Linked DNA regions of Astyanax mexicanus. The protein of the gene in region 1 interacts with the protein of each later gene in a pairwise test. Links are inferred from orthologs where the notes say so. Each region holds a gene or a part of one and is shown on either strand. Other genes may lie near its edges. The genes, in order: trim32, zgc:103755 and ptcd2.

Region 1 (10,413 bases):
ACTGGATTGGATATCTTGTCATACAGTGAAAACATATGTAGCCTATTGGTTCTTTGATATGAAAGATAAGAGAGGTATAAGAGGGCACTTGAACATTGAGGAGTCCAACGGGTAACGGAAAGGATATATGAGCAAGAACCTGGCATCGTTAATAGGCGGCAGATAAGTATGTAGAGTTTACGTATTCAGATTAAGCACTCCTTCAGTACGTTTAGCTACTTCATCTTATTTGTACACAGTTTTTCGCAGTGTATGTAGTGTCGTTTGGTAGTCCTCTGATTCACAAAGTCCTTCGTCTGGACGGGAACACAGCACAGCAGTCAAAATAATCACAGATGTAGACATTATTGATTGACAAACACTCCCACACGGAGACAACACTTGTCAATTATTGCCATCTGTTGCGCCATATTCCAAAAGCATCCACACTGGTAAACACAGCCCACGTTCCAATCTCTGCTGGCAGTGGTGAAAGAAAATCAAGAATTCATCGTCCGACGCTTTTTTTTTTTTTTGTCGCTTTATTCGCTTCTTTCAACATGGCCAAATCAACTGTTCCGTTCGGGAATCGCAGAGAAGCCAGCTATGCCTGTAGCCAATCAAATCAAGCATATCCACGTGTCTTGAGCGATTGATTGGACAACCAACGGAAGCCTCAACAAGTCGAGGAACGTCGCCTCTGCAAGTACGTGTAGACCTTGACGCAGTGGTCCCAGCAATCTAAAACCAGCAGCTGTCCTTTATGCGTAACAGCAACACCCACAGGGCACGTTAGACCTTCCTGAATCAGAACATTGTGGCCACCTTCTTTGGGAAACTGCAGAATTTCCTTGCGCCCGCTATCCGTCACCAGCAAGTCTCCATTGGCGTCCACGCACATGCCCGTGATGCAGCGGAAGTCCTCCGTCTCGGAGAAGAAGTGGCTGAGCTGTTTCCCCAGCTGACCATCCGTGCCCACCGAGCCGATGGAGAAGCCGCCTTCCAGATGGTGCTCGTTGTGCCTGTTCTCAATGTTCAGGCCCAAGCCTTGGGTGAAGTAAACCGTTCCCGAGGAGTCACAAGTCACAAACTTGGGCCTTACAGCTGAGCACAGTCTGTTGTAGTTCACTACTCCTACGTTACGATCCACGGCCAAGCACCACAGCTTCCCTCCTTCCACATCCGACACCACAAACTGTCCAGAAGGCATGGCAGCTATGCCCCATGGCTTGATGAGCTGGTTCTTATGGCAGGCGATGCAGTGGCCGTCCGTGGTGTAAACCTTGACAGAGTTGTCATAGTTGTCCGTGACTCCGATAAGACCCTGAGGGGTGATGGCGATGGACAGAGGGATGAGGTTGGGCAGGTCGGCACCTAGGAAGCTCAGGACAAAGTTGTCTATGCTGCTAGGGTTGCGGCGGATCTCCCGCTGGAAGCCCTTGCGGTTGAATATCTGGATGCGGTAGTTGCCTCGATCCGCCACAAGCACGTCTCCCTGTGGAGTCACGCAAATGCTCACTGGCAGGTTGAACATGCCCGGGAGGTTCCCTTTGCATCCCATCTTCTTGACGAACTGACAAAGCTGACCTCCGGAGGCGCCACCTGTTGCCCCAGGCGAGGGTCCCCCTCCATCCACGGACTTGGACTTGAAGCTACCAGGTGAGGCACACACGGCTTCTTCTACAGCAGTTATCATGTCTACATCTCGATACAAGGGCAAAGGAGCAGCAGCGGCTGCGGCAGCAACAGTGGCAGCAGCAACAGCAGTGGCATCAGCGGCGGCAGCTATCTCCAAACCATCCTCTTCATCTGTGTTCACCGTACAAGGTTTAATAGTCAGCTGACCAACGTCTAGGGACTGCGGGTTCTCTGTTTTGACCAATTCAGGATCCTGCAGCTTCAAGAGGACGGGAAGGCTGCTTTTCAAATCAAGCTCTTCCTCGTCATCATCTCCGCCACCTTCTTCAAGCAAAGCAGTGTCCGTCTGCTTGATCCTCATGGTGAGGTAGTCGCATCGGGACACCACTTGCACCTCTGCAATGTTCAGAAGGTATGTCTGCTCTTCCAGAATCTGAGCGTTGAGTTTCTCCACCTCAGCCATGGAGGCGGCGAAGGCACGGCGCGAGCGGCCCAGCTCCTCCTGAAGCCGGAGCTCCGCCCTGGAATACTCCTGCTGCACGGCCTTGTACTTGAGACGTAGAGACTTGGACACATTATCTATGGCTGCCTTCTTCTTCTGAATGTTGGCCATGGCCTCTCGCAGGTTGGTCAGCTTCACCCCAAGGTCCTTCCTGCGCTGCTCAGCGGCCGTGCGGATGGTCTGCACGCTGTGACCCTGATGCTGATGTCCTTCGCACTTGCAAGCGTCGCACAGCACCACGCCGCACTCGCAGCAATACTGCCGCGGCAGGCGATTCTTGCAGGACTTGCACATGAGGCCGGCTGCAGAGCTGCAGGTGCTGGCGCAGTCTATGATCTTTAGCACCGTGAGGTTGTCAGCAAGCTGGGAGATGCTACTCATGCGGGAAACCTTGCTGCAAAACGGGCAGCGCACCCCGTTTATGGTGCTGGCCAGGAGCTTCTCGAGGCACTGCCGGCACACCGAGTGTCCACACTGCAGGAGCTTGGGTCGGAGCTGGTCCTGATTGTACGTCTCCAGGCAGATGGGGCACTCCAGCACCTCCCGCACCAGGTCTGGGTCCAGGCATGTCGGAGTGGCCATGATGCATCTCACTAACGGAGGTGTTCACAGAGAGGAGAGACAAGAAGAAGAGAACCAAGTGAGTCATTTAGAGTACAGTGCAGTACAGCAGAGAATTATGTAATATGATGATGTGATGAGTGAGCAAGTATAGCAGGCGTTACGCTAATTACGGTTAGCTCATGCGGGCGAAGCAAGGCAGGGCATTGTATTCCTTGGTCCAACCACTTAGCCCTAACCCTTTGTTTTGCGCTTGCACACCTAGGGGTAGGGTGTCTCGATTTTTGGTAGGTTATAAGGGTAGGTTAGGTTAGGGGAAGTTTTAAGGCTACATGATCCTTTAAGTTGAACATTTTCCTATATATCTTTACGGTCTCACCTTATCCCCTTCAGACCTTGCGCCCAATGCATTACAATTACAACATTAAACAAGCAAATCAAAAATTTACATTAACTTAGCCCCGCCCACTGCAGCAGAAAAAAAAACCCCAGCAACTCAAGATATAAGTGCATGTCAGCACAACAGCCAACAAAGCAAAGTAAGAGTTAAATTTTACTATTTTTTACGTGATTTAGAAACACTTTTATGATGTTCATGTTACTGTGTATGGATGATTTGTGTACAAAGTACAAAGGTCAATATCAAATCTAACATTAAAAATGTAAAACACATTTTAAGGCATCCAATGCAATGGACATTAAAAAAGAGCAATCAAATATATTTTAGTTAATGGGACAATTAGGGTCGTCTTTTGTGTGATTGAACAAAAGACGACAGAAAACAGCATTCTTATAGTTTTCACTGGAACTTAATTCAGGTCTGAAAGAGTTAAAGGTTGCAACACAGGCAGAGGCTGCAGTATTTAAGGTGGAATGGAACGGAAAAATAAAATAAAAGCGAATAAAAGCTAAATTTAGCTCCCAATCAGAGAGGAATTAAGGAATAGATAATAATAATTAATTCTAAGACATACACTAAAGCCCTAAATGCTAATTCTAATTCTTAGGGGGAGGATTTTATCCCTTTTAGTTGGAACTCTGCTTCAAGGAAAAGGGTTACAAAAGAAAAATGGGATTGAACCGTAGGGCGTTTTCACAACAGCACTCTTTGGTCGGGTTAAAACAGACTCTGATTGTTTTTTACTCGAACGAACGGATCCCAAACTCTGGAGCGATTTGTTTGTGGTGAGAACGTGATCAGGCCTTGATTTGACCCAGTTGTCAAATATACTCTTTTATTTTTTTATATAAAATGCTGATAATAGTATACTGCTATGAACGAATGCTATTCGCAATTCTGTTTACTATGTGAACATCTGCACGGCACGTCACATTTAAAACAATGCGTTTTAAAACGTAGCGTTTCAACATTAAGTGCACAGAATATTTTCACTATATTTACTTTGAAGGTGGTTATCTCCAATCACACCCAGGGAAACCAAAGTGAAACCAAACCAAACAGAGGGAGAAACCCTTCAAATAAAACTGATTCTGATCATAGAAACCATAAAAACTACAGGTGCGAAAACACCCTTAGTCTTGTTTTGCAGTATTTATTAATTTATGAGACCCAACATGCACGTGAGACAGGTGTTCCCCTGAGCTATTGGCAGGCACTGTAGTATTGCTAGTATTGTTATTCTTCCTTTAGACATAGAAAACACAGCATTTTTTATTTTTTGTCAAATTTAAAGCTTTTTAAGACTGTGAAAAGATCAGGAATACTTGTTTTGACGTCTCCAAATCTATACCTAGTGTATTCCCTATTGACTTTGTTGATTTTGCATGCAATAACATCACCACATTAGCTTCCTTAGCCAGCTAGCCAGCTCTATATTAACTAGCTAGCTAACTAGCTCTATCTTTATCTTTTGCTTTATATAATATAATCACGAGCCAACATTTGCAATATTCCGCAGCATGCATTGCAGATATTGCACATACTGCAGCAATATCAGCACCAAACAAACAAACAGGATGCATTAGACGTCCAGCATTGCACAGATGTTGCTGTGCACCTGGCAGCCATGCTAAAGGCTCGAGCTAAGGCCCAGTGCAGAGGCAGAGGGCTGCACCCTGTGTCTATGTGTGCGCGCGTGGCAGCGGTGTATATGCAGTGCAGTGCAGTGCAGTGGTGTATATGGTATATGCTGGTATATGCTGTGAGTGGGTGAGCGCGCTGTCCGCGTGCGGTACCGCTTACCTCAATGTCAGCCTGACTGCGGGTCTCTCCACCGCCGCTCGCTGCGTGCGTGCCTGCGCGAGCGACACTGCGGAGCGCTGACGTCGTCAGTGGCGGCCGTCCCCCACTGCGATCTGATTGGTGGAGAGACAGACAGCCTTCCTCAGCTCTGATTGGCTGAGAGAAATGTCTGTCACTTATGTCAACAAAAAATAAGACATATTTGTATAAATATGATGTCAAATTTAATTTAAACATTTTTATTATTGATCTTAAACATTACTACTACTACTACTACTACTACTAATAATAATAATAATAATAATAATAATACTAATAATACTAATAATACTAATAATAATTATTATTATGATTTATTTTTTTCATTTTTATTATTATTATTATTATTATTATTATTATTATTATTATTATTATTAATACTACTACTACTACTACTACTACTAATAATAATAATAATGTATATCTTAATGTTTTGTTATTTAACAATAAAATATTTTATTGATTTATTGTAAAAAAAAAAAAGATATGTATAAAGGTTTTTATTTAAACATTTTTATTATTGATCCTATACTGTACCACTACTAGTCACAAAATAATCTTAAACTCCTAGTATAATCACCTTCAGACAGCCTGTCGCTGTTATAGTTTGTTTATTTTTTATTTTATTTTTAGTTTTAGTTTGTTTTTAGTTAACTTTTTGAATTTTGTGTCGTTTAACCTCTTGTCTTTATTGTTTCTTTGATTTATTTTACTTATTTTACACACATATATATATATATATATATATATATATATATATATATATATATATATATATATATATATATATATATATATATATATATATTATTATTATTATTATTGTTATTATTTTATTATTATTATTCATCTGTAACTGCAGTCTTATAATTTTTTATCACCTGTAATTTTACCTATGATTTTATTATTCTTACTAAATTCTTAATTTTATTATTATTTGTAGAATAGTGGTGTTTATTATCTTATAGTAATGCCATTTACTGTAGAGTAATTGTACTTTACACTACATTATTTTTTTAAATCTTAAATATTTATCTATTATTTATATTAATCTTATTTAAATCCAAAATTTAAGTTTGATGAGAACAAAGCCCAGTTTCCCCATATCCTCCTCTGATCAGTTCTCCTGCTGGTGTTCTGTTTTTAATGCAGTTCCAGCTCAGACCACCAGATGGAAGCAAAAGTCCACTCATGGTGTATCAGAATAGAGCAGATAGTGAACTGGAGAAGTGAACACAGGTGCACAGCAGTGTAGGTATATGCACAAACATTTAATATGATTTAATTTAGACGCCATAAACAGGATGTAGTGGGCGGAGCTTGTGTTGTGTACAGTACACTGAAAAAAATGAGTAAAATTGACTTTAAAAAAGTTTTGCAACTTTCTGCATTTGCTTTTTTTTAAGTAAATTTAATTTCAGATAAATTTAAGTAACTTCAACTCGGTTTCAAGACTTAAATGTTACACAGAGTAAATAAGTGAACTGAACTTCAGTCAATCCTTTCTGTTAGTAAACTTTACTTCATTTATTTTTACTGAATCAATCCTTTCTTTTAGTAAACTTTACTTCATTTATTTTTACTGAATCAATCCTTTCTTTTAGTAAACTTTACTCCATTTATTTTTACTGAATCAATCCTTTCTTTTAGTAAACTTTACTCCATTTATTTTTACTGAATCAATCCTTTCTTTTAGTAAACTTTACTTCATTTATTTATACTGAATCAATCCTTTCTTTTAGTAAACTTTACTCCATTTATTTTTACTGAATCAATCCTTTCTTTTAGTAAACTTTACTCCATTTATTTTTACTGAATCAATCCTTTCTTTTAGTAAACTTTACTTCATTTATTTTTACTGAATCAATCCTTTCTTTTAGTAAACTTTACTTCATTTATTTTTACTGAATCAATCCTTTCTTTTAGTAAACTTTACTTCATTTATTTTTACTGAATCAATCCTTTCTTTAAGTAAACTTTACTTCATTTATTTTTACTGAATCAATCCTTTCTTTTAGTAAACTTTACTTCATTTATTTTTACTGAATCAATCCTTTCTTTTAGTAAACTTTACTTCATTTATTTTTACTGAATCAATCCTTTCTATTAGTAAACTTTACTTCATTTATTTTTACTGAATCAATCCTTTCTTTTAGTTGCAGAAAGTTGCAAAACTTAAAGTAAAGTAAATTTTATGCTTAATTGTTTCAGAGTAAAGTTAAAAGTAAGTGCTATTAGTGAATATAAAGTAACTATTGTAGTAGAGAAGTGGGCGGAGCTTCTGGACACGGTGGAAGTAGGGGTTTCCACAACCGTTTTGTACATTGAGGGGACGTTTGCAGTTGTTTTCTCACATTTTCATTCCTCGTTTCCATGGATGATTTAATAAAATTGGTTCTTCTATGGTCATCCATCACTGAAAGAACTCTTCGTAGCTCCTTTACTATAATTATTTCTAAAGGTTCAGAGATTGCCACGTCCTGATTTTAGCCTCCAGACCCACCGCAGACCCGGCCGAGCCGGAGCGAATAGGATGATGGATGGACGGATGGATGATTCTGGACTTTGCTCGGTTCACAAGTCAAACTCTGACCGGATCAGTCCTGAAACTCCCGTCTCAGGAGCTTCTGTTTATTATTATTCTGAACATTTTTCCCTAAATAAGAACCTTTCCCAAAGAACAGAATGCACGTGTGGTCAGCCTGACGTATGCGATTAGTAAATGCCGCAGGCCTCGATCAATCAAACGCCCTCACGGTGATGACAGCTCCATTGTGAGTCTGGGTGCATTCGGGGGGAATGTTCCTTAGGCTGACCGGCCCGAGTTCTGGAGCTGGAGCTGGGAGATTTGCCCCACACTGAAAAAAATAAATCTGAGCGTTAGTAAATGTAACGTAATTAAATCTGTGTTATTAACAACAAAGAAATATGTTTCTATATTTACATGAATATATCTAGTTTTTAATTACTCCACATTTGTTCAAAATACCAGATATTGTGTATTTTTTCTTTAATATAATTTATTTATGTAATCCCAACAAATCTTTTTAGGTACACAACAAATCTGCACAACAAACACAAGTCTTGTTATATTTACTCGGGTTTTAGTCACTACCTGTGTCAATGCTCTTTCTACAGTGTTGGTTCATGCAGCTTTCCTATAGGCTCCTGTAACCATATATTTGCATATTGGGTGTGGCCTCTCTCTCTTACTCACCATCTTTGTGTTGTCTGTTGCCCAAAGCTACCTTATCCTGGGCGTGCAGTAATTATAATGTGGCAAGAGGAGTAAATAAATAAATGTTTATTAAATAAATAGTGCACGACTACGCCACCTAGAGGGAATTTCCCTCTTAGGAAATACAAGAACACACAGGCCCAAGACACTTGGAGAACAGAGACGTAGTTTCCAAATTAAAACAAGTTTTATTAACAATTATCAAGAAAAGATTATACACACCCAGAATCACAAAAGAAATATATATATATATTACAACTGAGGGCTTACCAGGACAGCAGGACAAAAAAAAAAAAAAAAATCACCTACACACACACATACCACTGCACACGAGCACACACCCACAATTACGAAAAAAAAAAAAAGAAAATCCCAACCGAGGCAGAAAAGAACTAGCACACCAAACACAAAATATTAAGAAATTAAGGTAAGGCTTCCAACTGACCAAAGTAATCCTCCAAAGAGAATAACCCCATAAAATAAACCCACACTCAAAAAAAGTATACAAAACAAAATAGAAACCCAATTAGAGAAAAGAGCTCCAAAGAAAAGAAAACCCAAATTAACTCAAATTCCAACACAAAAAAGTTAGACACAGAAAAAAAAGATCAATTAGATTAATCAAAAATATAGAAGACAAAATACCAAATTAGACACAAAACAACCCCAAAAGGCAAAATTAAGAAACTAAAAGACAAAAACTGAATATCACAAAAAATGAAAATCAATACGAAAACACAAACTTAATTAGCCAAAATAAATCAAAACAAAAAAAACAACAAAAAAAAACTAAATCAAAGCAAAACAAATAAGCCAAAGCAAAAACGAATTAATTAATTTAAATAATTAATTAATTAATTAATCAAAATTAATCCAAACAGAAAACTACAATAATATACATTGGCAGGTCTCAGTGTTTATAGGCTGTAAGAGCACATTAACTTTATTCTGTGTTTCTACTGATCACAGTGTGCTGGATTTGAGCTACAGAGTTCACTCTTTACCCAGTTTACTCCTGTATTGCTCCATTATTATACTGTAATATAATATAATATATATAATATACTAAATATGTTGAGAATACCCATGGTTAACTTAATTGATAACTTATGTGAATATTACTAAAGCTTTATTAAATTGAAAGTGTGTGTTAAAATAAAGATGAATTGTTAGTTTATTTGACTAAACAGATCATTTTTAAAAAGGACAAATTAAACACTTAAGTTGAGTTAACTCAGCTTTTTAAGTCAGCAGAGTACAAGAGAAAATTAAGTTGACAATACTTTAATTTCCCATGTAGTGTCAATGGACTCTTTTAAGTTGACACTACCTGGAAAAGTATGTTAGCACTACTGGAGAAAATTAACTAGTATACAATGACTACTCTTGCTTGATCTACCTAATTATCTGATGCAAAAAGTTTATATGATTCTTTTAAGTAGATCAAGAACACTATTTTTTTTCAGTGCAGTGACCTACACTGTTATGTTTTTTCTTCTTGTGAGGAAACGTAGAGTTCTAGTACTTGTCTGTGTTTAAAGGTTTCATGCTATCGTTTTTTTTTTTCACTCATTTTAAATGTCTAGTTGTGTCTCTAGTATTAATAAATTCCAATGTGAGCTTATTTATGTGAAAGAAAAGTGCTCCGGTGATTCGGTATAACTCTGCTTTAGTCTAGTGGAGGAGTAGGCGGGAAAGAATGACAGGATTTCAGCTCTTGCACATGAATATTCATACATTTACATTTACATTTATGGTATTTAGCAGACGCCCTTATCCAGAGCGACTTACAACAGTGCTTCATACATGCAAACAGGACTCTTAACCCTTGTGTGGTGTTCGGGTCTGTGGGACCCGTTTTCATTTTTCATCAAAATATTTTTTCTAACTCAAACTCATTGGCATTGGCTCATTTTTTGTGAGAAACATATATCAAAACACATTTTCCATAAACACACACTGTACACCCCACCCCTCCAACCATTTATATTACATACAGTATGTTTGGCCAAGGGCTAATAAACATTGCTTCATTTGTAAATTTGAAACTAAACAAATTTTCTACTCATATCTTGAGTTTAATTCATTTCCTTTTACATTTTATTAAAAAACTAATAAAAAAAGAGTAGCACTTTTTGAAAGAAATGTAACATAAGAAAGGTAAAGGGCAAATATTAACCATGTAAGCTGTTTATATTGCTTGCGATTTAGGTGAAGCAAGCATGTGTAAAGCATTTTAATGTAGAATTGCTT
Region 2 (10,738 bases), on another chromosome or scaffold:
AAAATAAAATAAAAATAGAGCACTCCAGTTTCTGAATCAGTTTCTCTGATTTTGCTATTTATAGGTATATGTTTGAGTAAAATTAACATTTTTGTTTTATTCTATAAACTACAGACAACATTTCTCCCAAATTCCACATAAAAATATTGTCATTTAGAGCATTTATTTGCAAAAAATGAGAAATGGCTGAAATAACAAAAAAAGATGCAGAGCTTTCAGACCTCAAATAATGCAAAGAAAACAAGTTCACCCTGGTTTTTAATCACAGTTTTCATTAATCTCTGCATGTTTTCCTACACCAGTCTTACACACTGCTTTTGAATAACTTTATTCCACTCCTGGTGCAAAAATTCAAGTAGTTCAGCTTGGTTTGATGGCTTGTTATCATCCGTCTTCATCTTGATTGTATTCCAGAGATTTTCAATTTGGTAAAATTAAAGAAACTCATAATTTTTAAGTGGTCTCTTATTTTTTTTCCAGAGTTGTGTGTGTATATATATATATATATATATATATATATATATATATATATATATATATATATATATATATATATATATATATAAAATACTCTTTTACACTGTAAATGTAATATTGAAGACTATATTAAAGCTATACAGCAACACATGTAGAACGGTTCTATAAACAAACAAAAACACTGTTAAATAAACCAGAATATGTTTTATACTTTGAATTCTTTTAAGTACCTCATAGCTACACTGTCTCCTAAAAAAAAAGTTGCCTCCTCGATTTAAGAAGAATCAGTAGCCTAAATGACCATGCGTCTTATCATTTTGTCCATATAGTGTGCATCGTTAGAGTATGTTTGATATTATGTATATGATGTCAGTGTTCATTATGTGGTTTTGTGAGCTGTAAATGCATTCTCAACAGGAAGCCGTAGCTGAGCTGCTGAAATCTTTTTCTGTGCTGTGGTTGTTTACTGTAGATGTGCTGGATGAGAGCGTGTGCAATTAAACGTTACACTTTGCAGATTCACTTTAATTAAACACATATGATTAATAATTGAAAAGTAACCAAAAATATGGATAAATTAATGTTAATAATAATAATATAAAATAATTAAAAAAGTGCTGCTTACAACATTTTATGTGAAATTAAGTCATTTTTTTAGGCTGAAGCATAAAAGCAAGTCTAATTTAGGTTATGCAGGCTACTGTGACACCAAGTACGACTAAACTCCAAACCTATGACCATTGACACAATTGTATGTCTAAATAAATGCTACACAACAATCAATGTATCGGTAAATGTATCTAATAAAAAAAAAATAATAATAATGGGCTTTAATTTTGATGTGAAAACCCTGTTTTTAACCATTTCTTTGTTATGAGTTAAACTAATACTATAAGATAGACTCATGCTAATATTATCCACTAGCAAATAACTTAATATAATATAATATAATATAATATGATATAATATAATGATTTGTTTGCCAATAGTTTATATCATATCTGTCATATCTTAAATTATGCATATCTGGAATATTTGTATACATAAATACATATATATATTGTACCATTTTTGATAGATAGGGCTGTGTTTTGGCTAGAACCGAACAATGCAATACTTAAAATACACAATACATATGTATATGATTCAGTATATCATAGGAAATTGTGATACTGGAAGCAAAGCAATATATTGTGATTGTTTAAAGTTTGTATTACGATACATATGCTAACAGCAATATACATTACGTTAAACAAAACAAGTGTGTGAATATAAAGAGAGTTTTCATAATGTCTTATATTATAGGTTTATAAAAACTTTAAACATACTAATATAAGGCTTTATGAAACCTGTCTTTAGGAAGAGACATATTCATACACTTAAGATGAAAACTAAACTTTTGCACCCTTATTAAAATAATTACTTACTTATTTACTTTTGATGTCTTAATCACCTTTACTTGATGTATAGGCGCTTCTCTTATTTAATGCAATTTTATGAAACAAAATATGTTCTTCTATTGCATCACTTAAAAAAACAAAACAAAAAAAAACACCTGAAATATCTTTATTAATAAAAAAGTGTATGTTCTCGCTTTTTTCTCATATACAGAACCTTCATATAAAAATAAATAACCTTCAAATAAATAAATAAAAATCTGTGGGAAAAAAGCTATATAGAATAAAGTTACTGATGGGTTTTAACTTCACCCTGTAAAGACAGAAAGACGGTGAGAATAGTAACAGGATGTTAACAGGATGTGCAGCAGGGTTATATGTGGGTTGTTAGGTTGTGGTTTAGAGGATAGAGAGATAGATATCTGCAGCACTAGCTCCCTCTTCTGACCAATAGGAACAGCCTTCCTTCTGTTGCACCACAGTAGAAAACCACACCAGCAACACCATAGTAAATACACACCACCCACCTGTTTAATGTGTTTAAAGCTGATTCACTGATTTCTAACACTGAGGCCAAAAATCTGACTTCCTTATTGATGTGTCTGAGAATGTATTAGAAGTTACAATGGATTATTAGTTATAAATATAGTAACAGTCAAAAGTTTGGACACCTTCTCACTAAATGTTTTTATTCTCTCCCCTACATTGTAAATGAATACTGAAGTCATCTAGATTATAAAGGAACACATATGAAGGTCCTGATGAGAGCCAGTTTCATCATAACTTTGTAGACTTTTGATGGTCCTTGGGACTGCACTTGAGTTTTTAAAATGTGTTGGATTACCTGACCTTCATTTTCTACAGTAATTTTTTTCTTGACTTTAATGGCTTCAATAATAACATATAGTAGTTTGATATTACGCTTGTGTCTTACTTGTGTAATAGAGCTTTTGAGAAATATCTCTTTTGACTTAAACATTGAGTATTTTAGGTCCGTTTATAGTGTTTATGGAACTATTTAAAATATTTAGCTATTTTTAAAAAGGAAGACGTGTTAAAGTTGCTCACGTTCTTTAGCTGTTTTTTGTTAATTCAGTCTGATTTCTTCATATATTGTTTTATTTTGTGGGACACAGTAAACCTAATACTGATCAAAGCCTTATTTTGATATTTGATGTTTGATATTATATGTACTCCTAACAGTAGAGTAAATCTTAAACCTGTATTAAATAAAAAATAAAAATACAGTGATATACCGTAACACGTCAGAATACCGACATTTGTGGTCAAACCACCCAGCACTACTACAAACTATGTAACATATTTTGAAATTGACATGATCCTCCCCATTCATACCAATGACTGTATTTAACAAGGACTGGGCAACTCAAATATGAAGCCACCACAGGTGTAGTGCCTCTGCTGGCTAGTTGTAGTATGACCTGTAGCTTCATATGACCAGACCCATATGTTTTAATGACAAAAGAGTGCATTTTTTCATCTCTGATCTCTGTTGTGTAGACTCTGGGTGCAAATTTGACAACATGGTAAACATTTTTGGATTCATTTCTATAGAATGTAAGGGAATGGAACTGTATCCAGGCTAGGCCTGTCACAATAGCTTTTTTTTGTGGACGATATATTATCTCAGAAATTATTGCGATAAACAGTATTGTAATTTTAAGACCATTTAAATGTCACTGACGTTTATACAAATGTTTTAAATACAGCACAATTTTAAATAACCATAGTCTGGGAAATGTAAACTCTTTTCTTTCTTTACCTACTGCAGTACACACTGTGTGTATGCAGTTGCTGTTATTATTATTATTTTTTTTACAGCATGACTGGCTAAAATACTGTTCTCTGTTTTAGGGCTGGCCCGAATAGCGTTTTTTGAGCTCCGGATATTCGGCACTGATTCGAAGCAAATATTTGAATATTCGTTTTTAAAAAAAGAGGTAAAAAAAAAAAAAAAAAAGCAAATCACGGCCCCTTTAATCCACTGAAAAATGTTCAATTTGCTCTGACCGACGAGACATATTCACCCCGGATTTTTGGTGTTTTTATCCCGGATTTTTGTGTTTTCACCCCATATTTTTTCTGTGTTTTTAGCCCAGATTTCTTTGTGTTTTCATCCCGGAATTTCTGCTGCCCCACACCGAGCCTGCTGCTGCACGGTTTCTCCGCTGCGCAAGCCAGCCCAGTAAATTGCTGTTTGTGTTTTCACACTTAGGCTATTTGCTTAAAAAAACAAACAAAAAAAACGTTTGTTCAGGAAGTATTTTATATTCTTAAACATTGTTGATTATATTAGAGGACAGTCATTGTAAACTGTACTTGGTCTATTTCGGTTAAAGGATTGTGCAGGGCATATTACTGATTTTGTATTTTTGCACTTGGGCTATAAGCTCAATATTAAATATTTCGTTTGTTTAGAAATTATTTTATATTTTTAAACCATGTTAAATTATATTAGAGTAGAGGAAAGTCATTGTTAATGACGTTATTGTACTTGGTCTATTTCGGTTTAAGCATTGTGCAGGGCATAGCCGTATTACTGATTTTGTATTTTTGCACTTGGGCTATAAGCTCAAAATTAAATATTTCGTTTGCTTAGAAATTATTTTATATTTTTAAACCATTTTAAATTATATTAGATAAGAGGAAATTCGTTCAGACATCATTTTTGTAGGCCAGGCTTTTGTAACCGATTTAGCCCCTACTGTTGCCACATTACCCCTTACGTTTTATTATATAAATCAGTTTCGAAGAGCCTGCATTTTTTTTTTATCATGTATAATAGAGGTCTGCGCGAGACTGATTTTTAAACCCACTCTTCCACGCTCCCGCGTTTCTGTCTCGTTACCGCGCCGCAAAAAAATTGCTTCTTTTAATCCCGCGCCCGCCCGCCACATACACATTTCTGCCGCTCCCGCCCCACGTTCCTAATGTAAATTAAATAAACTACATTTAATGCTTCAAATTTACTTATATATTTATTAAAACAGCAGCGCTGAATAGTGTGGTCCCGTTCCTTACCCCAGTCCAAACACCATCGGTGTGTGCGTGTGTGTGTCGGTCCATCCTGCGCGTTGAGAGTTTTCTTTAGGTTTTTTTTTTTTTACAATTATTACATATTATTGTTTTCTTAACTATTTATTAATTTGCTCCCGCATCGTCTGGATTAAACTCCCGCTCCAGCCAATAACAGTTCAGTTCTGTCCCGTGCGCAAGATATTCTGACGGGACCCGCGAGAACAGAAGTGGTTAGAGTGAGGTGGAACTCTGGAAAGGAGAAAAAAACCGAATATCCGAATACCAAAATTAAAAACCGAATACCTACTCAACGAACGAATATCCGAATACCCGAATATTCGGGTCCAGCCCTACTCTGTTTATATATGTGAACAAACGTTCAAATAAATACAAATAGGCAATATCACGATTATTGTATATTATTGATGTAGTGTCCATTTATTGTTCGATAAGTCGATAATGTGATTATTGTGACAGGCCTAATCCAGGTTTTTATTGTCCTTAATTCATTCAAAATTTAGATTAATGGCCGCTGAGTGAACACACTGGTGTGAGGCAATGTCTTTTAGCAGATCTCATGTTTAAGCTCCAATTTTCCTGTAACCAGGACTATTTTTGTGGATGTTCACGTGTGTTTCTCATGGTGCCGGTCCGGCTGTTCAAACTCACATTGACAATTATGTCATTAAAACTTTAAACCAGCTCAAAACGAAAAAGCTTTCTTCTGTCGTGTCACTGTGTCGCTACAAATCCCTGCAAAGACAGCCAATCAATAGGAACACTCTGGTTCAGATCATTGCCTAAAACTGACTGCTGTCAAAAGGGATATTGTGTGTTAGTTTGCACAACGCGCAGACAGTGCCAAATTAGAAGCAAATCCAGGGCAATGCCACTGAATAGGCTTAGAGTTGCACACCCCCGAGGAATTTCTCTGACTAATGAGAGAGTGAGAGTTGTTAGTTGGGCCTGAGTCTTCAGCTCAGTTTACTTAATTTCTCATTTTTCATAGGACTCGTAGGGTTGCCCTTGTATCTCGTCTTCATCTGATCCTCCTGCGTCTGATGCCGTGTTTCGTTTTGTGTTTGTTTACCTTGGATCACACGTTTCTCGGTAAGTAAAAGTGCCAGGGTAAGGGGAATGGCATCCCAGTGAGCCAGAAATAGCTCCTGAGCCACCACTGATCACAGGGCTTATTAGAAGAGGCCAGGAAGATCACAGTGTACCTTCCCCCTGTGCTCTAGTCTAGCTTGAACTTTACTTTGTGGGATCTTCTGCCATGTCGGTTGGTTCTTCCTCCGTGACGGAGCACCAGCTCAGTGAGTTTCAGAGTGCTGTAGGTGCTGTTGATGGCGTTGGTGAGTTCCAGGTGTGTTGAGAGCTGGTTGTGCTGCGTTTTCTCCTTCTTTGCTGTGACATATTAAGGCTTTTTAACTTGTGGTATTGATCTGTGACACATGAGCATAATTTAGGTGTTTATGAATGTGAATATGCCTATAAATTGTAATTACGGCTGGAACATTGTTGAATTAAATAAGCATTTGGATTAAAATAATTTTGGATTGGGTTACTAACTGTGGTACATGTACCACTGGCAACATGCGAGGGATCCTAAGATGGTATTCCTAATTAGAGTTTAGATTTCAGATAAAGTTTCGCACATTTTTCTCCCCAAATTAGCTAGGTCGATTGTCCCATTTATTTAGCTGCTACTCAGCTGTATATCCCCAGTCATTAGTGATGCTCTGACACAATAGTGAGGCCCCGAAATGCTGATGCAGCATTATCAAGTAGCCAGCGGCTCAGAAGAAAAGCACAGTGACTTGGTTCCGATACATCAGCTCACAGACGTCTTGTGCTGATTGACATCACCCTTGGGGTGCTGAGCCCATTGGGCCCCTTTGGCTAAAACCCTAGGGGTGATAAAGAGAATGAGCGCCATCTACCCACCCAGAGAGAGCAAGGTCAATTGTGCTTTCCTAGGGCTCTGACAGCTGATGGCAAGCTGCATGACCGGGATTCGATCCAGCGATCTCCAGATCATAGTGGCAGAGCTTAGAAAACTCGAGCTGGGAAACTCGCCGCCCTAGGTCTACAATTTGTAATGCTATTTTTTATTTTATTTTTTATTTTTTTGGGGTGAAATCGAACAGACTATTTTCTAAACATTGAGTGCATTCCTATTTTTATGTGTAATTCTGATCCTAGCAGTTCCATTGGTTGTAACACAGAGTCTGGGGAGATCGCGGATAGTTTGAAAAAACAAAAATGAAGATTAAAAAAAAAAAAAAAATGCTCATCTGAGTTTGTGCTCGTCTTTTATACTGTGGGGAAAAAAGAGACAGCGTTTCTTACTAATGTACTCAGAATGCAGAGATATGCAGAGAAGTGAAATATGTAATTTTGTGACTTTATTTAATTTGTGCAGTTTTGTTATTTAATTTTATTGTAGTAAATTTTATACTTGTAATTGTCATGTTCCTCCTCAGTTTCTAAAATAAATTGCTCTTAAATTCACTTAGCATGAACTAGCTGACTTCTGTCTGAAATGTTTTTTTTTTTTTTTTAAGAATAACAGTTTTGTTTACTTAACTTAGCTTAGCTCTACTGGTCTTGCCCCCCCCAGCAGCGAGACCTGCTGAATTAGAAGGAAAACATTGCAACACCATAAAATATGCCTTATAATGTGGTGCACCTTATGTATGAAAATAGATGTTTATTCCCTTACCCTTATAGTGCGAAAAATACGGTAACCTAGATAGATAGATAGATAGATAGATAGATAGATAGATAGATAGATAGATAGATAGATAGATAGATAGATAGATAGATAGATAGATAGATAGATAGATAGATAGATAGATAGATAGATAGATAGATAGATAGATAGATACTTTATTAAAATTAAAATTAATTTGTCCAACAGCACACAAATAATAAAAATAATAGTAATACTAATAAAGAAGTAACACAAAAAGCATACACAACAGAGTCCATACCCAGGTACAAAAAAGTGCTAAATGGTGCTTAATAAGTACACACATCAGGTGTTAAGCAGTAACCTAGGGTCTGAGAGGATGCCACTGTGTTGTCACACATCACTCTTATATTCCTCTGTTTAATGATTTCTGAGATTTGCTTAGTTTTACTTATTTTAATGCTACATTGTTCAGAAAAAGTGGGATCTTTTCTGGTATGTCAGTTAAAAAGTTTCAGAATCACTCTTCAAGTGGCAAGGTGTTTTTGAAATGGTCTGAGTTGGAAGATAAAGGATATATTTATATAACATTATATTTCTTTCCTTTATGTGATGTGAAATGGGTTTGAAGCCAGGCCTAGCTTTTCTCTTTTCTCTTTTTAAAAGATGGCTTTAAATCCCCAGAGCTTTTATTACCGCATGCATCCAAATGTTAATGCGTATTTATATACATCATGCCTGATTTATGCGTATCCATTTCAGATGGTTTCAGAGGGCCATGCAACAAAACAGAACTGTCTTTATGTGGTTGCAGACGACATTTAGCAACCTACTATGAAGTATATTATATTAGTGCTTCCAGAACCTATTATCTTACAACTGGAATGTTATCTCAAATATGACTTTGTACTGGGGGATGCATTATAATGAGTTTTAAAAGATAGAGAGATTTGTTTGGTTTGAAGTATGTTGAATAGATTGATGGATTGATGTCTGCTTGTTTTATATTGGCTTGTACTTAAATATACAATACCACACTGACTTTCTATACTGGTCAGATGACGTGAATTATCCTGCAGGTCAGTGCAACATGCTTTAGCTTCCATAGGACATGGCAAAAGTCATGGGATACAGTACTAGTTCCAGTGCCAAGATGTGTGTACGAGTTTTTTGTCGCTTTTGTTGTAGTAACTAGAACTTGATTGCAACTATTGACAAGAGTATTAGTGGTTGGATCTAATCTCTATTTAATTGATCTGTTTATATTTACCTATTATTAGGGATGCACAGACATATTCAGCTCTGAATGGAAGTAAAAGTGCTGAATAATTTAAACTAAACAAACAAAAATGATTTATTTAAAAAAGGGCAAAATGAATGAAAACCTGCAAATGTGTTCGTTATTCAACTTTTATTTTTTTTTATTTAATTTAGAAGCATTCTGTCCCAGTATCATTTTACTCCAGGGTGTAAATCTGACAAAATGTCCTGTATGGTTAATATCACTATGTACAGTACTGTGCAAAAGTTTTAGGCACCAAAGCAAATTACACTGATCCATCTCAGCAATACGAGGGTTTTTACCTGAAAAAAAAATTACCACATATGATTTAAACAGATACAAATAAACATACAAACAGTAAAATGTAACAAGGAATTCTCATTTTTAACTAAGTATGTTCTATCCTGTGAGCCAAGCTGAAAAACAACGTGTAGTTCCCGATTTCTCCTGGATGATTTCCTTCAGCCAGCATGTGTATATTATGTTCAGTTCCGTCGGCAGCTCACCTGATTTACCACATTTACCAGTAATTTACCAAACCAGAACTAGAAATAAATAACTCTATTAAACTCAGATGAGGAGGAGAGATTAGGAAATGTTTTAAGGAAAACAGGGCTGTAAAAGCACTGCTTTTTATAAAATTGCTGTTTGTATTTATTGTAATGCTGGTGTTTTACTGAGCTAATAAACACTTACTTCACAGATAAGAAGCTTTTTCTGTACTGAAATCCCCACAGGTGCCTAAAATTTTGCACAATACTGTATATTGCAACAAAAAAAAGTATAGCAATGTCACTTTTATCAAAATCAGGCAGGTCCTAGTTCCTCTGTTCTACTTCTCAATGCTCACTGTCTGGGATTAGGCATGGTGCCAAAAGATTCATGTTTATCTGCTCCAGGAAGTCCTGCTGAGTGTGCATTTCAAATCTCTGTCAAGTAAATATCTGTGGATTTTCTAGCAAGAACGTTCTTTTACACTTGTAAAACTGATACTGATATTTCAAAATGTGTTATTCAACTAGTAGATGCTGTTATTTTAAGAGACATGTATTTTATTTTTGATGCAGAACACCATCTTTACCAGAATAAATTATATTAATACCTGTAGAATACTGTATTTTTTCTCAATCAAACCAGATTGAAAGGCGCACTATCAATGAACGTCTATTTTCTGGTCTAGTTGCGTACATAAGGTGGATTATACACTGGATTATAAGGCGCGTTATGCGACACTAGTAAGGAACAGGGGTGTCGCCATGTTTTCCTTCTAAATCAACTGTAATTCTTAAAAATATATATATTTTTAACGAGCACTGAATTTTAACCTACACAGATTTCTCTCCTGAAAACTGTTTAGTTGGGTGAGTAAAGTGCTTCTGTTTTTTTTTTTTTTACAGTAAGCTTAGATTTCCAGATTTCCAGTAAAGCTAACCGAGGTTAGCGGCTAATGCTGCCCAACAGCGCTACAATGGGGAACCCTGAATGTTCCAGTAAGCCATTGCAATATTAGCTAATGATTCTTCCCACGTTGCTTATTTTATGATGCTAAACGCACAGGCTACAGGCCGATAATACTCACCTCTAAATGGTGAAAGAGCTAGTGCTTAGCGTGGAAAGGGGCTAATGCTAATACGGCTTCAGTCTCGAGTCTCGGTGCTGGAGAACTGAACTGAAACTCCTGTATAGCACTGTACCAGCAGAGTGGCTTTACTGCTCCTTAATACTTGACTGGTAGAATTCATACATAAGACGCACCAGATTATAAGGCGACTGTAGATTTTTGCGAAAATTAAAGAATTTTAAGTGTGCCTTATAGTGTGAAAAAATGTGGTAGTTAGGTTAAATAGA
Region 3 (11,057 bases), about 16 Mb from region 1:
CTATTAGAGGTGTCACAATTTCGATATTTCATCTCAATCGATCGAAATTATGTCATGGTCTCGAGCATCGAAGTCAAAAAGAGGACCGACAATCTCTCCCGCAAATGGCGCAGCACGCTACGCAAATGGCGCAGCCCACTACGCAAGTGGCGCAGCCCGCCACACAAATGGCGCAGCGTGGACAAAGAGCAGCCCTTTCTCCAGAGAATGTGGACATTCTCATCTTCTTAAAGAAAAACTTAAAAATATAAAAATAACAGTTGTTTTGACTAGCCTAAAATATGTTAATAGTTGTGGTACTTTAAGGAGCATCTTTCTCTCAGATTATTAATTAGTTATATAATTAGTAATATATCTTTGTTAAAGAAAAAAATTGTCATTTTCAGGGACTGAAAAAGTCTTAAAGTCTTATTTTTCATGTTTAACAGTTATAGTAGGATAGAGTTCAGTTCCTGTATTTTTTTATTATTTATTTTGTTATGTGCACACTGCTGCTACCAAAAAAAAGAGGTCATTACAAATATATCTTAATTAAATTATTTAAATTTGACCATTAATGCGTAATGTGGTGTATTACAGATCACTTGTATCACATTGCATCACTTATATCAAGCCCACCTTTTGGAATAAGATATTGAAAATTTGATTAATCAAACCATATGACATGACTGACCATAGACTAATCTAAAACTGGCATAGGCCTCTCTGCTGTAAAAAAAATAAAAAATAAAATCGAGAATCGAATCGTTAGCCTTAAATCGAAAATAAAATTTAGAGAATCGTGACACTCCTACTCTATATCATAAAAACCAACGCGAACGGTGCTCTCTTTGACCGGTGTTCTGTTAAGTTGTGCTACCTTGTCAAACTGTGCTTCCCTAGTGTATATTTAAGGTCTCTGTAAAGCGTGGAATCGACCAGAGATATGATTTAAACATATAGTTACACAAAATAGCTAATGTTAACTAACTGGTATAAACAGAGCTGTAAGCTCTTGAGAGCTGATGAGAGTGTCGGCTCTTTTGCAGCCCGGCTTCAGCTTAGCCTGTGGGCGGTCCCAAGCAAAGGCGGGCGTGGCCATGAACTCACGAGTTGATGTAGACACGGGTAGACACGGGTCATTTTCGGATCAGCAAGTAACTGCTAAACACCAAACATATAAATTCTGCTTTTTAATTCATATATTTGATAACATCTGAAAAATAGCAACGGTAAATCGAGACTTACTTTCATAGCTTCCTTTGGTAAAAAGCATATCCATCATGATGTTAAAAGATGTTTTCTCTGAAAAGAATCCTTTAAGTTTCTGAAGGGGTAAAAAAAAAAAAAAAGACAATTAGCATGTTTGCATGTGTCTCAAACTGATACTTCCTACTAATTTACAGCACTAAATGTTGGTTCTCAAGAGATTTATCAGAAAAAAGAGCAAATCACATTTAGTGATGCATGGCTTACAGATGACTGGCTAAGAGGTAGGAAGAGAACCAATTATTGCTAACTAGTATTAACATGTAACTGTTCCACTACAGCTTTTTCCTTATAAAAAACCTCCAGGACTTTCACAAAAATATTGCAATTACACCATAAACCACTTTCTCTGGAACCACAGAGCACAAATAAAGAAACCACAATAAACAAGCCATTCCCTATCTATTTTGACAGGTTACACAAGAACTGGTGTATCAGTGTTTGTGTTCGTATACATTCATACCTGATCAGTTATTGTCCCAAGAGCCACATCCTCCATGCGCAGCTCATAGCACAGCCGCATAAACAAAGGACCAAATCTGTAAGTTGAGTTGGGATTTACTTCATGGTACCTGCATAAGAAAATAGAGATCATATTTAATCAAGACGTGGATATGTATTCGATTTAGTCATTTTCTGTTGATGAATGAAGGTAATTGTATTCATCCAATTGTTTATAAAATGTCAGTGTCTACAGGCCCATAATCAGCTGGAATTTCATGGTGCTGTCTATTCTGTTTGTGGAGAAGAAGCCTGAAATCTTTTGGTCGCTTACATGCGTTTAATTTGTTATTGAGGAGGTGAGGAAAAATTCCTACCTATAAATAGCATTTCTAACTGTAACCATATCTTCAGGTGACTGGCAAAGATGCAGAACTTGCTTCAGGTCTTCCTGCAGTATCAACTCATTCCTTTCCATTTTCTGATTAAGTGCCTCAAAAAAATGACCTGTAAATTCAGCGAACAAAAGAAAAAGGTTTTCAACGTTTTTTTTTCTAAGGTTCCTTTAATGATAAAGAGATCACTAATACTTTCATTTATCTGGTTGCTAACAAATAAATAAAACACATTAGCAAGCTCAGAGAAACAGGTATTTATGTCATGACTTACTTTTTGTACCAGGCAAGTGCCGAGCTGTGTAGAGTTTCTTCAGCTGGAAATCCTGAAGCCTTACCAAATCCTCTGACAGAAGATGGCGCTTGGCTGAAATGAAGCAGATTTGGCCAGGTGTAAACAATAACGACATAACAGAGGTGATTAGAGCAACTTCAATCTATACTCAGCTACATGGACTACAAAATTTCGTTAAATAGTGATGTATAAGTAATAGTGTACACAACCCATATCATGGAAAACTTTACTCAACACACATTGTAAACAATTTTAGCAGTATGTAAACTGACCACAGACTTTTATGGCAGATTATGTCTTCTTAATCTTTAAATGTATTTCTGATGATAAAAACAGCAGTTCTTGATATTTTAATGCCTTATTTTTACTAGTATTAATTGTAATTGAAGATATCTTCACTATAAATTATATTTGTAATAACTTTAAGTCCAAATATCTGTAATTGAATTTTGATCAGTATAAATGCTGAATTGAGATATATCTAATCCCGTTTTCTCCCCAATTTACAAGGCCAATTACCCAACCAACTCATAAGGACTAGCACACGCCTCCTCAGCCACCACCTCTTTTTGAACTGCTGCTGATGTAGCCAGCACTTGGAGAAAAGCGCAGCGACTCGGTTCTGAAACATCAGCTCACAGATGCACCATCTACCCACCCAAGGAGAGCAAAGCCAATTCTGCCCTCTCAGGGCTCTGGCAGCTGATGGCAGCTGATGGGAAGCTGTAGACCCGGGATCTCCCACTTGGAGCACGTAATTTAGACTAATTTAGGCTAGCAAAAATGTTCTTTGTGGACATGTGCAGTTTTAGCTCTCTATTACAAAACTTCAGACGTCTAGAGTTTAAGTTTTGACTAATAGTTATTAGGGCTGCACTGTTTTGTACTCTGTCCACTCCATTAAAATGATGTTATAGTAACCATCAAATTAAATCAAATTTATTTGTATAGCGCTTTTTACAACTGATGTCACAAAGCAGCTTTACAGAAATGTGACAACAGGTCAGAGAATCAGGCAAAAGATTGAACATACAATACAGAACCCCCATTGAACTACACACAAATACATACACAAACATACAGACATACATAAATATATGACATAAGATTATCCTGAAAAAAAACATCCAGCCTGTGTGAATGTTTTTCTACTATATACTTTGTAAGTTTTAGATATATATATATATAGGTACATCAACCTATCAAAATGTGCTGCAAAAATGGTTTAGGGCCTTAATTGTTTAACTGGCAATGTGCAGTAAGACATACATTGGATTGACAGCCTCACCAGTAGGAAGTAGAAATGGAGAGCATGACAAAACAATGATTAATCAAATAATAGGAAAAGAAATCAGGATTACACTACAAATACGGAATTGCAATTTTAACTTGTTAAAATAATTCTAGTTATATATAAGAGAAGTATATAATAATATAAAGTAACTCTAGTTATGTTATGTAAATCAGTGGTAACACGTGACTAGTCAACATTACATTACGGATGTTGTGCTGGTATTATGTCTAAGCAGCATGGCTTTATTAACCTGAAGATCTGATATTATTACTAGTAAATGTCACAGATGATATCTGAAATTAAAGTTTCTACTAGTAAACTGCAGAAGAGTTATTATGCAATTACATTTTGTTTACTGTTTTAAACTGAGTTTATGACTCCGGTCACTACAACTATAAACAAGAGACACACAACTCTGTAAAATTAACACTCTGAATAAGTTCTGTGTAAATCTTGAGTAAGGTAATTATGCGGGTAAGTTAATGTAAAACTGTGTGGAGGAATCCAGTTGTTATCTAACTACAACTCTAACTGACCGTATGTATTTGATACAGGTGAAGATGATGCTGCACAGTGCCGCACATCACTGTTTTAAAACCAAAGAAAAAAAGCTGATAATTCCAGACTAACGCTGTAAAACAGCGGGTACACACCTCCAGCCCTGCATTTAAAACAGCCGGAGTCCAGCGAGAACTGAAGCGCAAACCGCGCACAGCGGCTCAGTCCTCTCTGCAGCGCCATGCTGTCCCCTGACTGTACCACCCGCAGCCCCGGCACAAGGTAACAGACCGGAACTCAGCAAATATTTACTACTTTCAGTACGAGACACAGTAACAGTGTTAAAGTAAAAAGTACAATAAAATACTAATTTAATTACAGTGGCTCAAAACCACTCACTACAGAGCTTCACCCAACTGTAGATCACCCACCGTAATTCACTAAAACACAACCCCCTGTTTCACACGACATGGTTCGCTCCAAGCTAAAAGTCTCAGTTCAATAAAAGTCTCGAACAATGACTCTAAAAATGTTATATTATATTTATATATCTATTTTTCTAAATTTAATAATATATTTGTGAATATAATACGTTATATAATAATAAAAAAAAAAATAATAATACATATTTAATATTATAAAAATAATACAATATACCAGAATATATAACATATATTATATGCATATTATTATGAAAAACATTTAAATATAATAAAAAATATACACATATAATTTTTATTTATATTTGATTTTTTATTTATATTTGATATTTATATTTTTTTATATATACAGTCAGTAGTCTCAACTATATATATGGTCTCGACCAATGACTGTATAAATGTTTTTTAAATATTTTTTATGTGTTTTTATATTAATAATATAATACTAATTTACATATTATATTAATGTAATAATATGTATGTTAATATAATACATTATATAATATTAAATACTACTACTAATAATAATGATAATACCTATCTAACATTGTAAAAATAATAAAATATAACAGAATATACACAATGTATTATATGTATATTATTATAAAAATAATATAAATATAATAAAGAATATAAACAGCATTTTCTTATTTATATTTTAGTTTTATGTATACAGTCGGTTGTCTCGACTATATCTATGATTTTGTTCAATGATAATGAAATAAATAAAAAATACTTTAATTTAACTTAATTTAATTAATCTATTTATGTATTTCGTTTTATGTAAATACATGTATTTATTTGTATATTCATATGCTACAATACCGTTTTAATAATGTTTAAAAAAAATAAAAATTCAGAATATAATATTATAATAGGCATATAATATAATTGAAAATATAATAGATATCTTAAGTAACAGAAATGTGTTGTTTAATCATTTTATTTTTCTTTATATAAACATATGGCATGGTCATGTTGGCAGCTTCTTGTAAACACAGTAAAATTATTTCTAGTCGTTAATGATTTTTTTTTTTTTTTGGCTAGTTTTGAAAGTAATGTTAGAAATGTGTTTTTAAAATATATGCAAATTCATCCAATAGAGGGCGCTACGGCACTAGCACAATATACCTAGGCAGAAACTAGAGGCCTTTTAGAGCCTATCCCAGTATATGGCCTAAGAGGCATTGCTCCATCTTTCCATCTTTCTAAATATAAACAAAATTAAAGTAATTTACATAATAATAATAATAAAAATAATAATAATAATACATATTTAATATTATAAAATAATACAATATACCAGAATATATAACATATATTATATGCATATTATTATGAAAAACATTTAAATATAATATAAATGTGTTTTTAATCATTTTATTTTTCTTTATATACACATATGGTATGGGCATATTGGCAGCTTCTTGTAAAATTATTTAAAATTATTTATAGTCGTTAATGATTTTTTTTTGTTGTTTGGCTAGTTTTGAAAGTAATGTTAGCAATGTGTTTTAAAATATATGTAAATGCATCCAATAGAGGGCGCTACGGCACTAGCACAAAATACCTAGGCAGAAACTAGAGGCCCTTTAGAGCCTATCCCAATATATGGCCTAAGAGGCATTGCTCCATCTTTCAATCTTTCTAAATATAAACAAAATTAAAGTAATTTACAAAATAAAAACATTTAAGATATATCAAATTTAACAATACATTATGTACTTTGTTCAGAAAATTGAAGCTGATCACGGTCATGAAACCATAGGCTGCTGTGTGTCCTAGGTAAAAACATTCTGGACTGATTTGAAAACCTATATAAAGCAAAGGGAGACAATAATATTTACAATTTTAGACAAGAAACTAATATAACTCAAATATGAAACATGTCTTGGTTGATTAACTACATGTGTAATCTATGTAATAAATCATGTTATTATTTTTTGCTGAACTTTCTCTTTAAAGTGTCTTATTCTCATGCCCAGCTTTTAAAAGTGTTGGATAAGGCACCCTCATTCCAGAGAACTCCATTCTGGTCCCTTTATACGGTACCTCTCTAGTCCACATCCTGGATTAGATATGGTGCCAAACATGTAAATAAGATATTGCCACTGAACTTTCCCTTTAAAAACTCTCTTTTACTCATATTCACACAGGCGTGCTTTAGTCTTTTACAGTGTTTTAGCTCACCTTTCAATGCCACTGCTATAGATTTGGCAGCACTATGTGTGTACACCCTGTGCTTTTGAATGGGAATGAATGATTGGAACTGGCAGTGGCCAGACAATCAATTGAAACCAACAGTCAAATAAAGAAAGGACACAAACTGTCAGCAGGCTTTCAGTCTCACCTACAGCTTATCAATCCAACCGCACAGAGAGGATGACCTTGGAATACAGCAATCTGCTCTTTAGTCTGCTCTGCGGTTATTGATTTTGACCTGCCCATATGTCCAAACGTCTGTAGATATCCTTACATCCTTTGCGTGAGAGTAAAATACACACTGTAAAATGTTCCTTGTAAATTAATGCCAACGTACAGTGGTACAAAAAAATTTGGGCACCCCTGATAATTTTCCTGGTTGCCCTTTATAAATTATTTATTGTTCGGATCAGCAATTTCAGTTAAATATATCATATAGCAGATGAACACAGTGATATTTGAGAAGTGAAGTGAAGTTTATAGATTTAAATAAAGTGTGCAATAATTCTTTAAACAAAATTAGACAGGTGCATAAATTTGGGCACCCTTGTCGTTTTATTGATTTGAATATATTTAGCTCTAATTATTGGAACTCAAAATTTGTTTGGTAAGCGTATTGACCCTTGACCTACATACACAGGTGAATCCAATTATGAAAATGGGTTAAGGTGCCAATTGCAAGTTTTTCTCCTCTTTGCATTTTCTGAAGTGCGGGAACATGGGAACCTCAAAACACAACTTTCAAATAACCTGAAAACAAATCCTGTTCAACATCATGGTTTATGGGAAAGAATACAAAAAGCTCATAATCTCAGAGATTTCAGCTGAAGATCATAGGCACAGTTCTAGTTAAGGCCCGAAGTGGCAGAACAAGAAAAATCTCAGATAAGCAGAGGAGAAGGATGGTGAGAACAGTCATAGTTAACCCACAGACATCCAGAGCTCCAAAGACCTACAACATCATCTTACTGCAGATGGAGTCATTATGCATCATTCAGCTATTCAGAGCACTTTACACAAGGAGAGGCTGTATGGGAGAGTAATGCAGAAGAAGCACACGCCACAAACAGAGTCGCTTGAGGTATGCTAAAGGACATTTGGGCAAGCCAGCTTCGTTTTTGGAATAAGGTTCTGTGGAATGATAAAACTAAAAATAAGTTATTTGGAGAGCAGTATGCATGGAGGAAAAAGAACACAGCATTCCAACACAAACACTTTACTGCTCCCCACATTAAAATTTGGGTGCAGTTCCTTCATGCTGTGGGGCTGTGTGATCAGTGCAGGTACTGGGAATCTTGTTAAAGTTGAGGGTCTCATGGATTCCAGTCAATATCAGCAGATTCTTGAAAACAATGTTCAAGAATCAGTGATAAAGTTGAAGTTAAAGTTGCGCCGGGGCTGAATACTTCAACAAGACCCTAAATCCTAAACACTGCTCAAAATATACTAAAACATTCATACAGAGAAACAAGTACAACATTCTGGAATGATCATCTCAGTCCCCAGACCTGAATATTATTGAAAGTCTGTGGTGTGATTTATAGCAGACTGTTCATGCTTAAAATCCATCAAACCTGACTGAACTGGAGATGTTTTGTGAAGAAGAATGATTCAAAATACCTTCAACCAGAAGCCAGACTCTGATTGGAAGTGTTTAAAGGCTGTTATTTCTGTAAAAGGAGGATCTGTATATTAAATATTGATGTAATTTTTCTGTTAGGGTGCCCAAAATAATGCACCTGCCTTATTTAGTTTAAAGAATTAATGCACACTTTCTGTTATTCCTATAAACTTTATTTTACTTCTTAAATATCACTGTGTTCGTCTGCTATATACTATATTTAACTGAAATTGCTGATCCGAACAACCAAAGATTTATAAAGGAAAATCATGAAAATTATCAGGGGTTCCCAAAATATTTTCAGACCACAGTGTAAGTGGTGGTGGTCAGAATCAGAAGGCAGCAAAATGCAAGAATTTTTAAATGTATATTTTAAATCTATAAACCTTAAAAGCTTTCAGAAGGTTCTTTTAGTTGTGTGTATTTTGAACTATGTAGAGCTTTTGCTGCAACTAAAAAAACTTAAAACCCCCTTTAGGGAATCTCTCCTATAATTTCTTTTAAAGAGCTTACAGTTTATTAATTATGATAACTAAGCAATAAACTGTGAAAAATACAAGGAAAGACACAGATATGAAGTGTTGATAGCTGCAGTGTTCAGGACTATACATCGAATGTGGAATGCCTGCTTATAGGAAAGCTAATTTTAGCTCCCTTACTTATTTATAAGTTCCTGTGAATTATTTACTAAACGCAGAACAAGTGTGAAGCAGCAGAGGAGATCAGAGGAGTCAGTAGTGGCTGGCATCATCAGTTTCCTCTGGAACAGCATACAAAAAATACAGTGTATATTAAGAATCTGGGTGTAGCGTATAACAAGAAAAAAAAATGGGCCTCATTTGCCAATATAGTTGTAAAGTTGGAAGAATTTATTTTTGTATCTATTTAGCAGTTACCACCCAGTCGTTTTCCCTCTTCACAAGTGATGCTCCAACACCAGGAAGGTGAAGACTAGCACATGCCAACTCCAGTACATGTGAAGCCAATCAAACCTCACCTCTTTTCCAATTTCCTGCTGATGCAGTATTACTGGGTAGACAATATGTTTGGAGGAAAGCGCAGTGACCCAGCTCTGATACATCAGCTAATAGACACCTGTGCTGACCAGTCATGCTCTCTCTGACTCTGGCCGCTGATTGCAAGCAGCATGATCCGGGATTCTAACCAATTCAAAGCAGATCGAACTAGTTCAGATGTGTTAATAAATAAGAACACATACACTGTAAAAACTGTCCTTTTATTATGAATTAAAGTATTCAGCTGGCAGCGGTTTCACCAATATTTTACAGAGCCCCTACTGTACAAATGTTTTCTAAAATAGCTGAAAAACTGGTGTTAATGTTGACTTACATTGTAAAAAACAATTTACAGAATAAATTTGAGGTGACAGTATGCATTCAACCAGTTTAATTCATATTATGAGTACATATATGTTAAATAAAATTTAACAGATGTGACAGCATGAAGTCACATTTTTCAGTAAAGAAGATAAACATGGCCTATAACAATGTGACCAGAGTGTCAATCATTACTGGTTAAATTTTGCACACTAGCAGAACAAATTTGGTCTTCTTGTTTTGTCTTATTTTAATTAGAGATTAGAGATGGGTTGCATTTAATAGACGTTTATAGGAATGTAAGTTAAAGCTAATGTTCGTAAGTTTTGGGATTTAGGGCCCTCACTGGTGAGAATGGGTAATTGCACTGAGCATGTGGAAGAATCATTTTAATCTGGGTGGGTGTGATGAGGTCTCCTTTCAAGGTGGATGAATCCGATTCCAGGTTATGTTCAGTCAGAAACTTCACTTCAGCTACACACTTTGTTTTTACTATGAGTAAATGAGCTACTGAGCTCAGGAACTGAGTTTCCCCTTCTGAAGTCTCCATTGCTCCACCAGCCGCTCGCGTTTAGTAAAACTGAGCCTATACTCTTTGTAGGCAGCAGGTCCTAGATGATTGAGTTTGGTTGACGCGTAGCAGTTACCACAGAGTCCACTTTTTGTGTTAAAAAATGTTTACTAAGAAAAAGTTTTCCAACAAGCACAAAATCCTAAAGACTTCCACAAATATCCACTTAAGAAGTAATATGCTACGGTCTAAAAACCGTGTGCTCCATTTTCCACCTAAGTTTATTCTGCTGCTCTAATTCGCCCCCTAGTGAGCAAAAAAAACATTCTAGAACATCCTGTTGTATTTCTTAAAGAGACAGGGTACAATTATACTACAAATAAAACCAACATAAAGGAAACATTATTTGTGTCTCTTAAAAATGGCAAAGAAATAAAGAAAGAAAGAACAATATAACAATATTTACAAAACAATATATACATTAAAGGCAGTCCTTCTTTTGGCTCCTATACTCTTTTAGAGGCTGTACGTAAAGACGTGTGACGTGGCCAGACGAACCCCTGCGAAAAGTGACCCGATACACCATTTTTTAGAATGAATATATTAGGTTTAGCAGGGGAGGATGCTCCAGTACACTGGTACCATTAAACACAACATCATTTCCCTTCTCCACTCAGAAATGCTTCTGCTTTCAGTTTAGAAACAAAGTAATGTAGACTGCCACTTTAAATCATTATTTAAATATAATTTAATAATCAAAAGCTGATCATACACA

What was found.
Region 2: the proteins of trim32 (region 1) and zgc:103755 interact in binary tests that used the Homo sapiens proteins (3 or more experiments, as listed by UniProt). The two-hybrid records come from large-scale screens. The link is inferred for Astyanax mexicanus from reciprocal best matches to the Homo sapiens genes TRIM32 and CLIP4.
Region 3: the proteins of trim32 (region 1) and ptcd2 interact in binary tests that used the Homo sapiens proteins (3 or more experiments, as listed by UniProt). The two-hybrid records come from large-scale screens. The link is inferred for Astyanax mexicanus from reciprocal best matches to the Homo sapiens genes TRIM32 and PTCD2.

The regions. Positions count from the first base shown.
Region 1 is NC_064408.1:6,798,171-6,808,583, forward strand, and holds trim32 (E3 ubiquitin-protein ligase TRIM32), read right to left. Parts: upstream 4,986-10,413; 5' UTR 4,884-4,985; intron 2,713-4,883; 5' UTR 2,702-2,712; coding exon 656-2,701; 3' UTR 502-655; downstream 1-501. UniProt on the Homo sapiens protein: E3 ubiquitin ligase that plays a role in various biological processes including neural stem cell differentiation, innate immunity, inflammatory resonse and autophagy.
Region 2 is NC_064421.1:10,918,110-10,928,847, forward strand, and holds the start of zgc:103755 (CAP-Gly domain-containing linker protein 4), read left to right. Parts: upstream 1-6,089; 5' UTR 6,090-6,189; coding exon 6,190-6,268; intron 6,269-10,738.
Region 3 is NC_064408.1:22,614,475-22,625,531, reverse strand, and holds the start of ptcd2 (pentatricopeptide repeat-containing protein 2, mitochondrial), read right to left. Parts: upstream 4,591-11,057; 5' UTR 4,415-4,590; coding exon 4,327-4,414; exon of another isoform or gene 4,210-4,326; intron 2,452-4,209; coding exon 2,359-2,451; intron 2,197-2,358; coding exon 2,067-2,196; intron 1,821-2,066; coding exon 1,712-1,820; intron 1,307-1,711; coding exon 1,228-1,306; intron 1-1,227. UniProt on the Homo sapiens protein: Involved in mitochondrial RNA maturation and mitochondrial respiratory chain function.